Caenorhabditis elegans: one gene and its partner. The protein of the gene in region 2 interacts with the protein of the main gene of each other region in a biochemical or structural test. Each region holds a gene or a part of one and is shown on either strand. Other genes may lie near its edges.

Region 1 (5,603 bases), on a different chromosome or scaffold from region 2:
ACTTCTACGACTCCAGCCTCATCATTAACACCAAGTAATGCGTTGACACCTGGAAATGAGGATAAGAAGAAGATGACGACGGATTCGGAGGAAATTGAGCTTCACGAAAAGAAGAAGTAGAAAGAAGAAGAAGATTGCTTCGAACTTTTTTTGAGTATTTGCCTTTTTCTAGTATAAATCTTTGGTAGTTTGTAACAAAAGTTGTATTCACTGAATTAGGAATGGAAATGGGCATTAGAGGTGTGCAGCAAAACGTTTGGACAAATTATAATATTGCCGGTTACGGTTATCTACATTAGACATTTCCAGCGAGGCGTGACGGGGGCACCCAGTGCATCAAATATTAATCTAGAAGAGTTTGAAATTATAGAAAAAATCCGATTAATTCGGAATTAATTTTCCTTTTTTTTGAAATTGTCAACAAGAATGTGAAAAACAAGCTGAAAGTTGTATTTTGTCGAAATCATTTTAACAGGTTTTTTTGGCAAATGACAATTTTCAGAGACTACTTGTTTGTCAAACAATATTTTTTAGAACAAATACAATTTATTAAAGCTTTTTATCTAACAACCCGGTAGAATCATCACAGATTAGTTTCTAAAATTGTTAATCAGTTCGTTTATAAAAGTTGATCTCCAGCTCGATAGTCGTTTTCAGCAATTGTGATTTTTGTCTTTGTCGATGCAATTTCTGTTTCTTTTCGGATCTGAAGTTGAATTTACATATACTTTATTTTTTTAAGCAAACGAACCTCGGAGAAATTAGTCGGATACGAAACCATTTTACTGGTAGATTGTGGTTTCTTCTTGATCAATCTAGCTTCATCAGTACCCTTGAACAAAGTGGTGATACTTTGTCGGAATTGAGGATTGAACCAGGAATAGATGATTGGGTTGAGCACAGCGGAGCACATTGCGCATACGTGGCAAAGCGCAAAGACTGTAGAATACCATTTAGAAATTCCAAATAGGTCACGGTAGAGATTGACTGCATTGAATGGCATCCACGCGAGAACGAATCCAACAACCATTACGATCATCATTCTGAAATTAGAAAAATAATTTGAAGAAATTCCTGGAATTCTCCAGATTTTGTTTCTTTTGGAAAAATGATCATACATAGTCACCATCATAATCATCAGTCATGCATACTGCAGTGAATACAAAAAAAGAATGTAGTCTCTTTTGTTTGTTTTATTTTTTTTTGCTTCGTATTTTATTTCCCTTAGGAGTTCCTGGTTTTTGTCAAATTATGCAAGGTTTGACATGCTAATACAAATGACTATTTGTGTCTTTTGCAACGGGGTACAAAATTTGCAACAAAAAATAACAGAGAGAGCTTAATAATTCAGGTTTGGGGATTGCAGAAACGTGCCGATTCGAATGTTGAAAATGTATTCAATTGATGCAGAATTAATAATATATTACAAACGAATTAAAATCAGATCATCTAAAAATTATGAAAACTTCGTTAAAAAAATTGGGTCGAGTAGGGTTTTGGGAAATTTTTGAGTAAATTTGTTTGGATGGTAACACGGAATTTTTGAAGTGAATCAACTCTTTTTTTTCTTGAGAAACTGAATTGCACAAATCTTTCAAGGAAAAATTTCTTAAGTTTTGGAATTTTGTCCATTTTCTGACAAATGATTCACTTTAAAATTTATAATTTTTTCTTAAAAAAAAAAGAAAGTTTTGGAAAACAAACCGATTAGCTCTTGTCTTTCGATTCACCAGCTTTGTTTCAGATTCCGGTCGAATATTGTGCCCTCTTCTTCTTGCTAATTGATCTGACATCACTCGACTAATCATCCAGTAACAAATTGAACTTATCAATGCAGGAATACCAAATTGAAGTACCAACACAGAAAGTCCATAAGCTCTTCGAATTCCCGATCTTCCAGTATCCGGATTGAAATCAGGCCTGAAAATGTGATTAACGTTTTTTAAAGAACAGAAGAGCAAGAAAACATATATGAAAATAATTGGGATAATTATGGGAAGTGAAAAAGAAATAATGCAAGATAATTGGTCAAATCAATGAGACAAATGACGCACCAATTCTCTTCACAGAATGTGCCGCAAATTTCGTCGTATACTGCAATGTCGCTGTAGATGCCTACAGGAAGTGCTAGAGAGTATCCGAGAAGCCAAATGCAGAAAACAATGAAGACAGCTCTCGGGAAATTTACTATCTGCAATTTAAAAATTTAGACAAATTATATAGATTATTAAATTAAAAATTTTATTTTAAACGCAATTTTTAAATTAAAATCAAATTGTATCAAGGGTATTTAGATCGCCATGAAAAGGATGTTATCATGTTAGAGAATCACCTTTCTTCAAGCTTACGCCCCGGTCGGCCTGGTATAAGGCTTTTAACGGGTAGGCGTAGGTCGCCTTGAAGACAGGAAGGTAGGTTAACACAGTTTCCCGATTGAAAAAACGACTACAAAACGGGAAAGTTGAAGTCCTTGATTGTCCAAGGATCAAAATAAAATGACCAGTCTAATTATTTTTCCCGCCTTTCAGAAGATCATATTCTGAAGAAGAACAAGTTTCCATTAATATTGTACTTAAACACACAAAGAAATACATAGAAGATTTTTACTTGGAAGACATTCTCGACAATAATACATGGAAAAAATAATGAAAAGAGGCATAGAAAAAGAAGGCTCCAAACCACATCAATTTTTATCTGCTCAGAAAAGTTTACTGCAGAACTTCTGGACTGTTTTTTGGGGAGAGCCTACCTCCTGATTTGGACGTAGAATTAGTACACATCTGTCCAGAGCAATAACTGTTAATGTGAATGATGAGACAAAAATCGTACCGCCCTGAAAAGTTTCTGATTTTAATTCAAATTTCTGTTCGCTCCTGTTATTCTGATTAATACACAGTATTTCAGAGTCTAGACATTTATTTATAAATCCTGAAAATCTTATACAAATCTCACCTGGAAAACTCCGATCAACTTGCAAAATATAGCAGGAAATACCCAAACTCTTGAAAATATAGAAATCGCGGTAATTGGCAACGAGAAAAGGCACATTAGAAGGTCTGAACCAGCTAGACATCCAACAAATACCGTCCTAACTGACAGTGATACCTGAAGTTGGCAAATTAGCTTAATGAACTCTTTTCGGGCACTTTGAGCTCAATGACGAATTCTGGAGGTGGTTCGGTAATTGTACTTTCAATCATGTATGAAAGATTCTTGATTCACTAGGAAATTCGATGAATAAAATACCGGAAATTTGAGATGATGGTAGTATCAAAAACAATTTTTTTGAATTGAATGCGAGAAGAGAGATACGGAAGATTTTAATGAAGCCTAAGAACTTTCAAAACTGAAAGTTGAAGTCCTCAAAAATCCTCTTAAAAGGGGGAACCGCTCGTATTTTTTGAAAAAAAAAATTCTATGTAGTATTCTGATTGTTTCAAAAAAAAAATTCCGGAATGGTACAAATTTTAATTTAAAATTTTTTTTTAGAAATTATAACCAAGGTTTTTCAACAAAATAACACTTTTTCTCATATAAACTCGAGAACAAAGTCGATTTTTCTCAACAAAAAATACCTGATTAAAAGTGAGTACATAAAGTACTAGAGTGTTGCCAACAATAGCTCCAACCCAAACAAGAAGGTACAGTAACGAGAATATTGCTCTTATCTGGTTCATATCATTGTATTCAGGTTGCCACTGTTGTACTGTCATTACACAGTTTCGACCACCCTCCATTTTGATTTCTGTAAATATTTAAAATTTTTAAATTAAAATTTTCAAAAATTCCAGAAGAGGAGAACAAAAATATATAGCCAAGTCGTTGGGGTGAAATGAGAGATTGGAGAAAAAACAGGAAACGAATATTAATGAGGATTCATTGAGATTGACAAGGAAATTGGGTCACTAATATGATCAGAAGAAAATTTTGAAAAGAAAAAAAACCATCATAAAATGGAAATTTCAAAATTTTCAGCACGGGGAACTCCGCAACGACACCCTACCGTTGTAGCTCCCACTCCGTATTGTTAATAAATTTGAAAACATTTTCAAGGTTTTCATACACTCGATTCCACTTAAATTCACAGAGTACCCTAGTTAGAGCTGACAACAAAATTCACAAATTCATGGAGCCGATTTGAAAGAAAATACACCATTTTAAACATTAATGTCAGCGAGCCTTCTCTCTTAGAAATAGCAGTTACGTATTAAATATGAAAAATTATGTTCAATTTTGATGCGATTTCCGGAAGGCACACAAGGATTCTGAGATCGCAATATTTAAGTCGTGAGTTTTCAAAAATAATATAGCTTAAAAATTCAAGAAAACTCTTAAAAATAGCCTATTATCTGAAGAACACGGAAAAACAAGGATCCTCCAACTAAACAAAAACATAGAACCTAGAAATTATAAAAATGATGTCTAGAAAAATGTGACATCTATAATCAATGTCTTCTCCGAAAAGAAAGTGAAAATGACTCATAACTAGAAATTTTCGCCGAACAAGATCAAGCCTGATGCATAATGCAACTCCTCCTGCTTCCTTCCTTTAAAAGGCGGAGCCTGAAGCAGCTTCAGCTTTCAAGGCTTAAACGTGTGTTTCTTCTTTTTCTTCGTTCACCCCTAGCGGTTATTACTGGAAACACGAAGAAATTATTGTGAATGAGGAAGGGAGGCGGGAGTCTGTGGGGGAGTGAGGAAAAGAAGAAGGAAAAAATGGCAGGGTGCAAACTAATTTCCATTTTTCCGACCGACTTATTTTCTTTACTAATAATTGACAAAAACGACAACACGTGTTGCATAACATATGAGACAAGTAGGTTGTTTCAATTACACAAACGGACCTTTTCTTCTTGCTCCTTCCACTTCAATTGACTTCTTTTTCTGTGACAAGTCGAAAATGATAAAAAAGTACTACTACAAAAATGGGAGTTTTTCATTGAAAGGGAGTTTATCAAAATTACAGTACTCTTTTATGAATCGGAAAATAAAGATTTCCTGCAGAGACACAAACTTAAAAAAGATGTACGGTAAGAGTTCAAGAATCTTTATAATTTATGATGTTTTCAGAGTGAGTACAAGCCTATGTTATTTTCAGAAGCACAAATTTGCATAGGCAATGAAGAAAAAGGCCTTTTGAAGGGTGGTTTCGAAAATAGAGGCAACATTATTTCGGAATTTATAGATGCTAAGGAAATCCAAAGCAATGTCGCATGTTCCAACCCCTACAATGTTTTGATACAAATAATTAAAACAAAATTACAGTATAAAAAATGTAGGAAAACCATTTTTTGGTCGACTTCCAAATTTATGAGTGCCAAAAACTGAGTAATTGTCACTTTTTGACAGAAATAAAAACATTTAAAAATATTTTTGAAAATTTTTATTAGTATTTTATTAATCGGCCATTTTGATACCATAGGAGTAGTTTATAACACTTTCCCCACTGGCGCTACTTTACTTTTAAACAATGTGAATTAAATAAATATTTTTCGAAAAAGCAAGACTAATATAAGGCACTTCAACAATAAATTATAAATTTTAAGTTTAATAAATTATCAGAAAATCGGAAACACAAATTTACCAAATAAACAATTGAAAAT
Region 2 (6,869 bases):
TTAGTTCAGAAAAAAAAGAGTTTCAGAAAATAAAACATCGACCATTTTCAATTTTCTGAGTTTCCAAAGTTCAATGATCAATAGTTCATTAGTTACAGACATGGGTGCGCGGTAATCGGAAATTTTGGTAATTGCCGAAATTGCCGATTTTCATTCAAGGATTAAATCATGCCGAGCTTGAAAAGAGAAAATTGTCCATTAAAATTCATGTTGAGTTTCGTAAATCTACAAAAAGTATCGAATTTATATTTCCGGCGATTCTGAATTTCAGCAATCGGCAATTTCGGCAATTGCTGGGTTTCAAAATCTCCGGCAATTGGCAACTTTGGCAATTGTCGGTTTTGTGAATTTTCGGCAATAAGCAATTGCCGTGCACCCTGTTTACAGAGTTAACACGATTTCAAAGTTAGAAATTTGCTGGTTGCCGACTACTCGAAATAAAGAATATCAAAACTTTCATCCATTTGACAGACATTTTCTGAAAATTGTTATAAGTTCATCGATAATGATATAATAATAATAATAATAATATAATTAACTTGAAAACATATTTTATTAACCAATCATCTTATTTATTTCATAGAAACACATGCAGCACAGTCAGGTGAGGGATGGAAAAACGGGGGAACGGAATCGGGGAGAAAAAAGTTGTTGGCAAGAAAATGACCGCTCTCCAAATTATTTACTGGTACCACGACGCGACGTCTTCAGCAGCAGGTGCCACGTGGAATGATGATCGCTTTCCAAAACGGAGAGGTCCAGATGGTCCACGTCGTTTTCCGAATCGAAGTGGTCCCTGGGGTCCGCCTTTCTTTACGTCTGAAAATTTAGCATAAAGTGGTCACCAAACATAAAAAAATTGGTAGGTTAAAAAGCAATCAAACCGTTTGAGATATAAAAAAGTTTTAACTGAAAATAGATAGAAAACTTATTTGTTATAAATGTTTTTAAAAGTATTAATTTTCAAAATGGTATTCTCACTTGAATTCAGCGATAAAATGTATTTCTGAACATTTTTTGAAATGCTGATATCTTTTTAGAAACTTAAGAGATCGAAAAGTTTTGAATAAACAAATGTTTTAAAACTTTGTGATTTTCATTTTTTAAGTTAACAATTCAAAAGCTTACAATTGGAAAAGTAGTCCAAATCAACAGCCACTGGGATTGTTCCGACCGAATTGTCGTCGTAATCTGCAATTTTAGAATGCTTGTTTTTTTTTTGAAATTTTGGTTCATTTGAAAGTCATAGTTTGAGCTTTTAATTACTACTTATTAGTTTTTAATTCCCATTGTTCCAATCTTGGAAATATCAAATTCCTTCTGAATCCTTTCAAGTTTATTTATAAAGTGACGTTTTTTTTTTCTCATTTTCCACTTTCTAAATATTTGTTTAAAATTCACAAAAATTCTCACATGAAACCCACTTCCGACACACGTACATATCATTTTTCCATAAATAATTCGAATGGACGCCGTGTGAAACTTTTGGCACAATTTTTTTGTTTTGTCTTCTGGTAATTTGAGATGCATTTTGTGCCAAAATTTTGAAATTTCTACACTCTGTTTAAAAATTTCAATTGAAAAAATGAAAATTTGCTGGAAAATCAATCAGACAATTTTTGACAAAAGCTTTGGTAAACTTTCGACAATTCCGGCAGTTTAGTAGTACTTTTTTGGGAAAGAATCTCAAAATTTTGAATGTTGCCCCGTTTGACCTCAGCACCCAAAAAAAGAAAAATCTCCCCCAACTTTTTTTTTCATAAAATATTCAATCTTTTATCACTCATCTCAAACATCTACCCCCTCATCTGCATAAACGTGATGCTCTCGAAAAAAAACGAAGAATTTGTCAAGTTTTCATTATCAAAGTGAGAGAAAAGAACAAAAGAATAAATTAGACAAGGAAGCTCGTTTTGTTTGACTAGCTGAGTTTTTGGAATTTTTAGGTAACGGGTTTGTGTGACGAACTTTTTTTTGAAAGTATAAATAATTCTTAACCAACTTCAATAGTTTATCAAACTATTGTCAACTGAAATTTTTTTGCAATTCTCTCTAATGTTTTCTCTCTAATTTTGTAGTCTGCTGCTATGCCTATTTTATCTTGCTTCGGTATAAATGTTTAACGGTGGAGTACCGAAATCCGAGACTTTGTTTTTTAGATCCAAAATGACCCAAAACTACCGAATTTCGTATGAAACGTTTTAAACATTTTTCAAAAAAGTTATAACGAGTTCAAAGTTCTGGAAAAAAGGCTCATTTTCTGCTAAAATCAAACATTTTTGCCATCTTCTCGCTGTCGCAGCGTCTGGAACTCAATTTTGGAATAAACAAATGACATATTAGTTTAAAATTAAAAAAAAATTAATTGCTACACTTGCAATTCTAAAAAAATTTGAACAATATAAAATCGTGTTGTTAATTAAATTTTCTTGGGAAAATTAATCGCATTTCAAAATACTGATAATATTGAAATCTGTGGTCTAAAAAACTAATTTTTGGTCAATCATCGACGTCTGATAATTTTAGTACCAAAAGGCAAAAATTTTGTCCAGTAACCTCAAATTGTGTCAAAAGAATTTCGTGATCAGTGAAAATAATTAACTTTTAAATGTTAACTTTTGAAATTAGCCGCTTGCGTTTTAAATTGTTAAAATTAAAATCCCCAGCCCATTTTCAAATACACAACCATCATCATTCCTAAAGGTTTCCAAAATAAAGCGAGCCCCATGTGTTGCTCATTGGTTTCAAACTTTCAAACTAATCGCCTGACGACCCCCAGTGGACGTGCACCGCCAATAAAACCTTACCAAAGTTAGACCCTGGAGTGTGGAAATGAATGAAAATCGATGCAAATGGCTCCTCTTTATGGTTGATACATGTGTACATATTATGACAAAACAAGAAGAAGAAGAAGACACTACTATGTAGACGGGCGTGGGTGGTGACAAATTTGGAAGTTTTAGTGGGAAGTTTTAATCCCTTACACCTTAGACTAGAGACATTTTGATTTTGAAATAGGAATTATAAAATTTTTATCTACGGTTCTTTGGCAACTTGTAAATCTCAAATAATTTGAATTTTGTCTTAAAAATAGTTGTTGCACGAAATTCGGCAATAATACTTTTCAAAATTACCGATATTCTATAAAAAATGAAAACAATTTTTGAAAAATTATAAGAATTTTGAAATTTGCCCAAACTCTTGATCAATCATCAAATCCTCACAAAAAAATTCGGCAGCTTTTAAAATAATGTCTTTAAAAATTTGGCAATTTTTGGAATATTCCTAAAACTCTTGACTAATTTTCGCTAGCTCTTCGGCTTTTCATGAACTTTTGGCAAATTTTTGAAACTTTTAAACAGTTTTTGATGTTTTTTTTTGCAAATTTCGACGCTTTTGGAAAAACTATCAGCTTCCGGCACTATTTCAAGCTGTCGAAAATGTTTTGCGACTTTCAAAATCAATTTCATCATCGTTTACAACCGATTTAAACATTTTAACGATCTTTTGCACTTTTCCACTTACAAATCTAAAAACTTCAGTTTTCTGACTTCTAAACCCTTACCTTTTCACTTCCGGAGCCCAGTGATCCGTAAAGTCAGAATTTTTCCAAAAATTTTACTACTAAACTACACAAGCGGAGGAGTAAGGGAGGGGATTGTTGAATGACAAATGGGAAAAGAACAAAGAAAGTGGAATTAGGAAATGACAAGAAATGATGGAGGAATGGATCAAAACTGACAGGGTTACGGTAGGGTGATGTCATCGAAATTTTGAAATTATATATTTATAATTTTAGAGCTGTCAAAAATTTGTTACCAGTTACAATGTAACTGGTAACAAATAACTTGTAAAAATGTTTTTTATTGCTTTATTAGACTCAAAATTGTCTGACAACACCCGAATTTCATAATGAAACTTCATGAAAACTTCTCAAAAAAATAGTTATACGGCTCAAAAAAGGGCCTAATATTAGTCAAAATTTGAAATTTGACGGAATTGTCAATGTCGCAGCGGCTGATAACATTGTTTTAAATCACCGCCAAATTTTGAGTATATGAGTATATGTAATTATTTTGCCTTTTCAACTCGATTTAGTTATTTTAAAGTCGATGGACCAAAAGATTTTAAACATTTTTACCAAATTTCTTCGTCTATTGGCTTACTAAATCGAGTTGATAACGCATGATAACTAAATTTTATACCCAAAATTTGACGGTAATTTCAAAACAGTTTTTAGACCATTTTTTGAGCCGTCATAACTTTTTTTTCGAGAAGTTTTTAAGAAGTCTGCGTTTTCAGACAATTTTGAGGGTAGTAAAGCAATTTTAAAAAATCTGGCAAGTTATAGTGAATTTTTTGGTCGATTTATTATCAATTTGTTTTAAATGTTTTTCTTGTTTTTGCTCCAGTCTCACCAAAGTAAAAACTTGACAGTTAATTTTTTTGTTATAATCCCCCGTTACATTTGGGTGTTGCTAAAAAATTTCCATACTTCTTTGATTTATTATCTACAATCTGACTGACTAAAGTTCAACTTGACTTAAATGGCGAGCTCTGTTTTGAGTAAACCGCCAATTTGCCTGTCAGAATGTCGAAATGATGTAAACTTTTGAAACTAAATATCAAGTTTGCTGGAAATCGGATCACGAGGATATGTATCATAAGTTTTTGAATTCGTCACTCGGAGAATACATTTTTTAAAACTTATTTATTCAGCCATTATGCTTCTCAAACCTGCAGTTATAACTAAAGCTGGTCAACTCACCCAAACATGTATAAAACTCCGTAAAAAACCTAATCTTTTTGATTTTTCGTATTGTATAGAATCCGTATCGTATTTTCAGTTTGCAAATCTAGCCAACAACTCTTACCTGCAAGTGTAGCAATTGCCAAAACCGCAAAAACTGCAACTCGAATAAGCGTGGAGAACTGCATGACGAGGTGTATGTGGGAGACCTTCTTCCAAAAAATGAGCCGAAAGCTCTTGCGAAAGCGCACACGAGCAGATAGGGCGGGATCTGAGCTCCGCCCTTTGCGCAGCTCTGTAGTTATTGATGAGCAGTCAGAAACTTGATATTTTTTGAAATGAAAATTTTGAAATTGGGGAAAAGGTACCACTTTTCAACAAAACCTGACACCACTTTTGAAGTTTGCTCCGAATTCAGGAGTTTGGCACATATATAAGTGACCAAAAAAGTTCAACGCTTAAAATACTATTCTATATATTTTTCAGATTAATTTTGCAGATAATATCAAAAAATTTGAAAAAAAATGGATTCCGGTGATACCAACTGACAATATAAAAATTTGAAGTAGCGGGGCAGACTGAATTCAGTAGATATGACACAAAATACTAAATTTTGCAAAGAACGAGTTTTGAGTGGTTATTTCAGCTTTAGGAACACTTCCTGTAAACTACTATTAATTTTTATTTGACTTATAACAACCGAGAAAGTGTTCAAAAATTGTCCGAATGTGGAAAACTGGCGTCAATTTTTCGGCAATTTTCAACATTCAGACGATTTTTGAAGATTTTTCCAATATTTTTTACTGAAATAACAGTTATTTTCAAGTAATGCAAATATTTTCTATATTGTACCATTAAATTTTAACGAATAATATCGGGGGAACATTCCCAACCGTCTCATTTTGTAGAATTCCCGCGCACCCCTGATTGGCACTCTAATTCACAACCCCTTTCTAACGAGAACTTCGAATTTAAAAAAACCCAACTATAGCCTTTGTTTTTAAAAAAAATTTATGTTCATAACTTTCAGATTATATTAAAAACGATAACTTCAAAGTTTCAGAACCATGAAACAGGCGTGACCTAGCGTACAGTACCCCTTATTGGACCGCCGCATCCCCAAAAACTTCAGAGCGGCAATAATTACACCTGGTAATTATTACACCAGTTGTTGTCACTTGAAAATGGTGTCGTGTTACTGTAGCCCCGTGTGTATCCATAATTCGGTCATATTTCAAACGAAACCGGCACAATATTGCAGAGAGACAATTGACTTTTATGTATGCAATTAACGGAACTAACAAAGTGGAAATGGTATTTCTGTAGTTTGTTGAGATGAGAAGTTGAGGGGAAAAACTTGGAACCTTTTTTTAAATACATTTTTAAGTATCAACTTAAATAAAATTGAGCAAAATTATATTTCGAAATTTGAAAGTTTTACAAAATTTTGATAATAACTCAATCCTCAATGGCTTTTTTTTTGAAACAGAATTGAGATATTGGCAGAATTCAAGACACCGTTTAAAATTTTCCGCGTTATATTGGATAGATTTTCGGAATTCAAGATTTCGGGAAAAAATTTAAAATTCTGCCCGCCGAATTAATTCAGCGAGTGTTTTTTTTCGGTGTTTAAAATTCCGTTTTCTTCATTTTTTTTTCAATGATATATTTTTATTGTAGTTTGAAAATTTTGATAATTGAAAAATATCCTAACCTAGTAACAAGTTGTAACAACAGACGCCTCGTAGGTTTCAAAATTAAACCTGCAATATAGGCGATTTTCAACATTCAGATTCAATATTCAACATTCAACAGCTTCCGTGATATTGCTATTTGAAAAATTATCAACTGGCAAAATGAAAAAGTATTTGTAAACCTATATAGCAACCGATGAAAATTACTAGCCAACATTGTTGTACATTTTAGTAGTCGAAAACTTTTCAAAACACTTCTGAAAAACGTTAGCCAACAGGTTTGGGAGCTATAACTTTTTACAGCGTCGATTTACAAAAAAGTTGTAAGCTAACATTTTGAGCCAGTTTTTTGCATTCAGTTAGTTATTGCAATATTTTTCAACTCACTTGTAAAAGAACTTATACCAGCCGACATCTCAAAGGTC

The links.
Region 1: of the proteins of flp-15 (region 2) and npr-3, one has a biochemical effect on the other in vitro, tested with the Caenorhabditis elegans proteins (3 studies listed by BioGRID, with this or other methods).

The regions. Positions count from the first base shown.
Region 1 is NC_003282.8:11,458,126-11,463,728, reverse strand, and holds npr-3 (Neuropeptide receptor 3), read right to left. Parts: upstream 3,746-5,603; 5' UTR 3,738-3,745; coding exon 3,576-3,737; intron 3,106-3,575; coding exon 2,953-3,105; intron 2,834-2,952; coding exon 2,750-2,833; intron 2,192-2,749; coding exon 2,055-2,191; intron 1,921-2,054; coding exon 1,705-1,920; intron 1,044-1,704; coding exon 752-1,043; intron 707-751; coding exon 620-706; 3' UTR 530-619; downstream 1-529. Other genes in the region: C10C6.3 (PH-15 domain-containing protein), read left to right, coding at 1-120. UniProt on the Caenorhabditis elegans protein: G-protein coupled receptor for flp-15 neuropeptides. Receptor activation assays suggest binding to predicted flp-15 peptides, GGPQGPLRF-NH2 and RGPSGPLRF-NH2. Likely involved in Gi/Go-coupled signaling pathways.
Region 2 is NC_003281.10:13,662,866-13,669,734, forward strand, and holds flp-15 (FMRF-Like Peptide), read right to left. Parts: upstream 4,975-6,869; 5' UTR 4,939-4,974; coding exon 4,875-4,938; intron 1,192-4,874; coding exon 1,129-1,191; intron 820-1,128; coding exon 683-819; 3' UTR 535-682; downstream 1-534.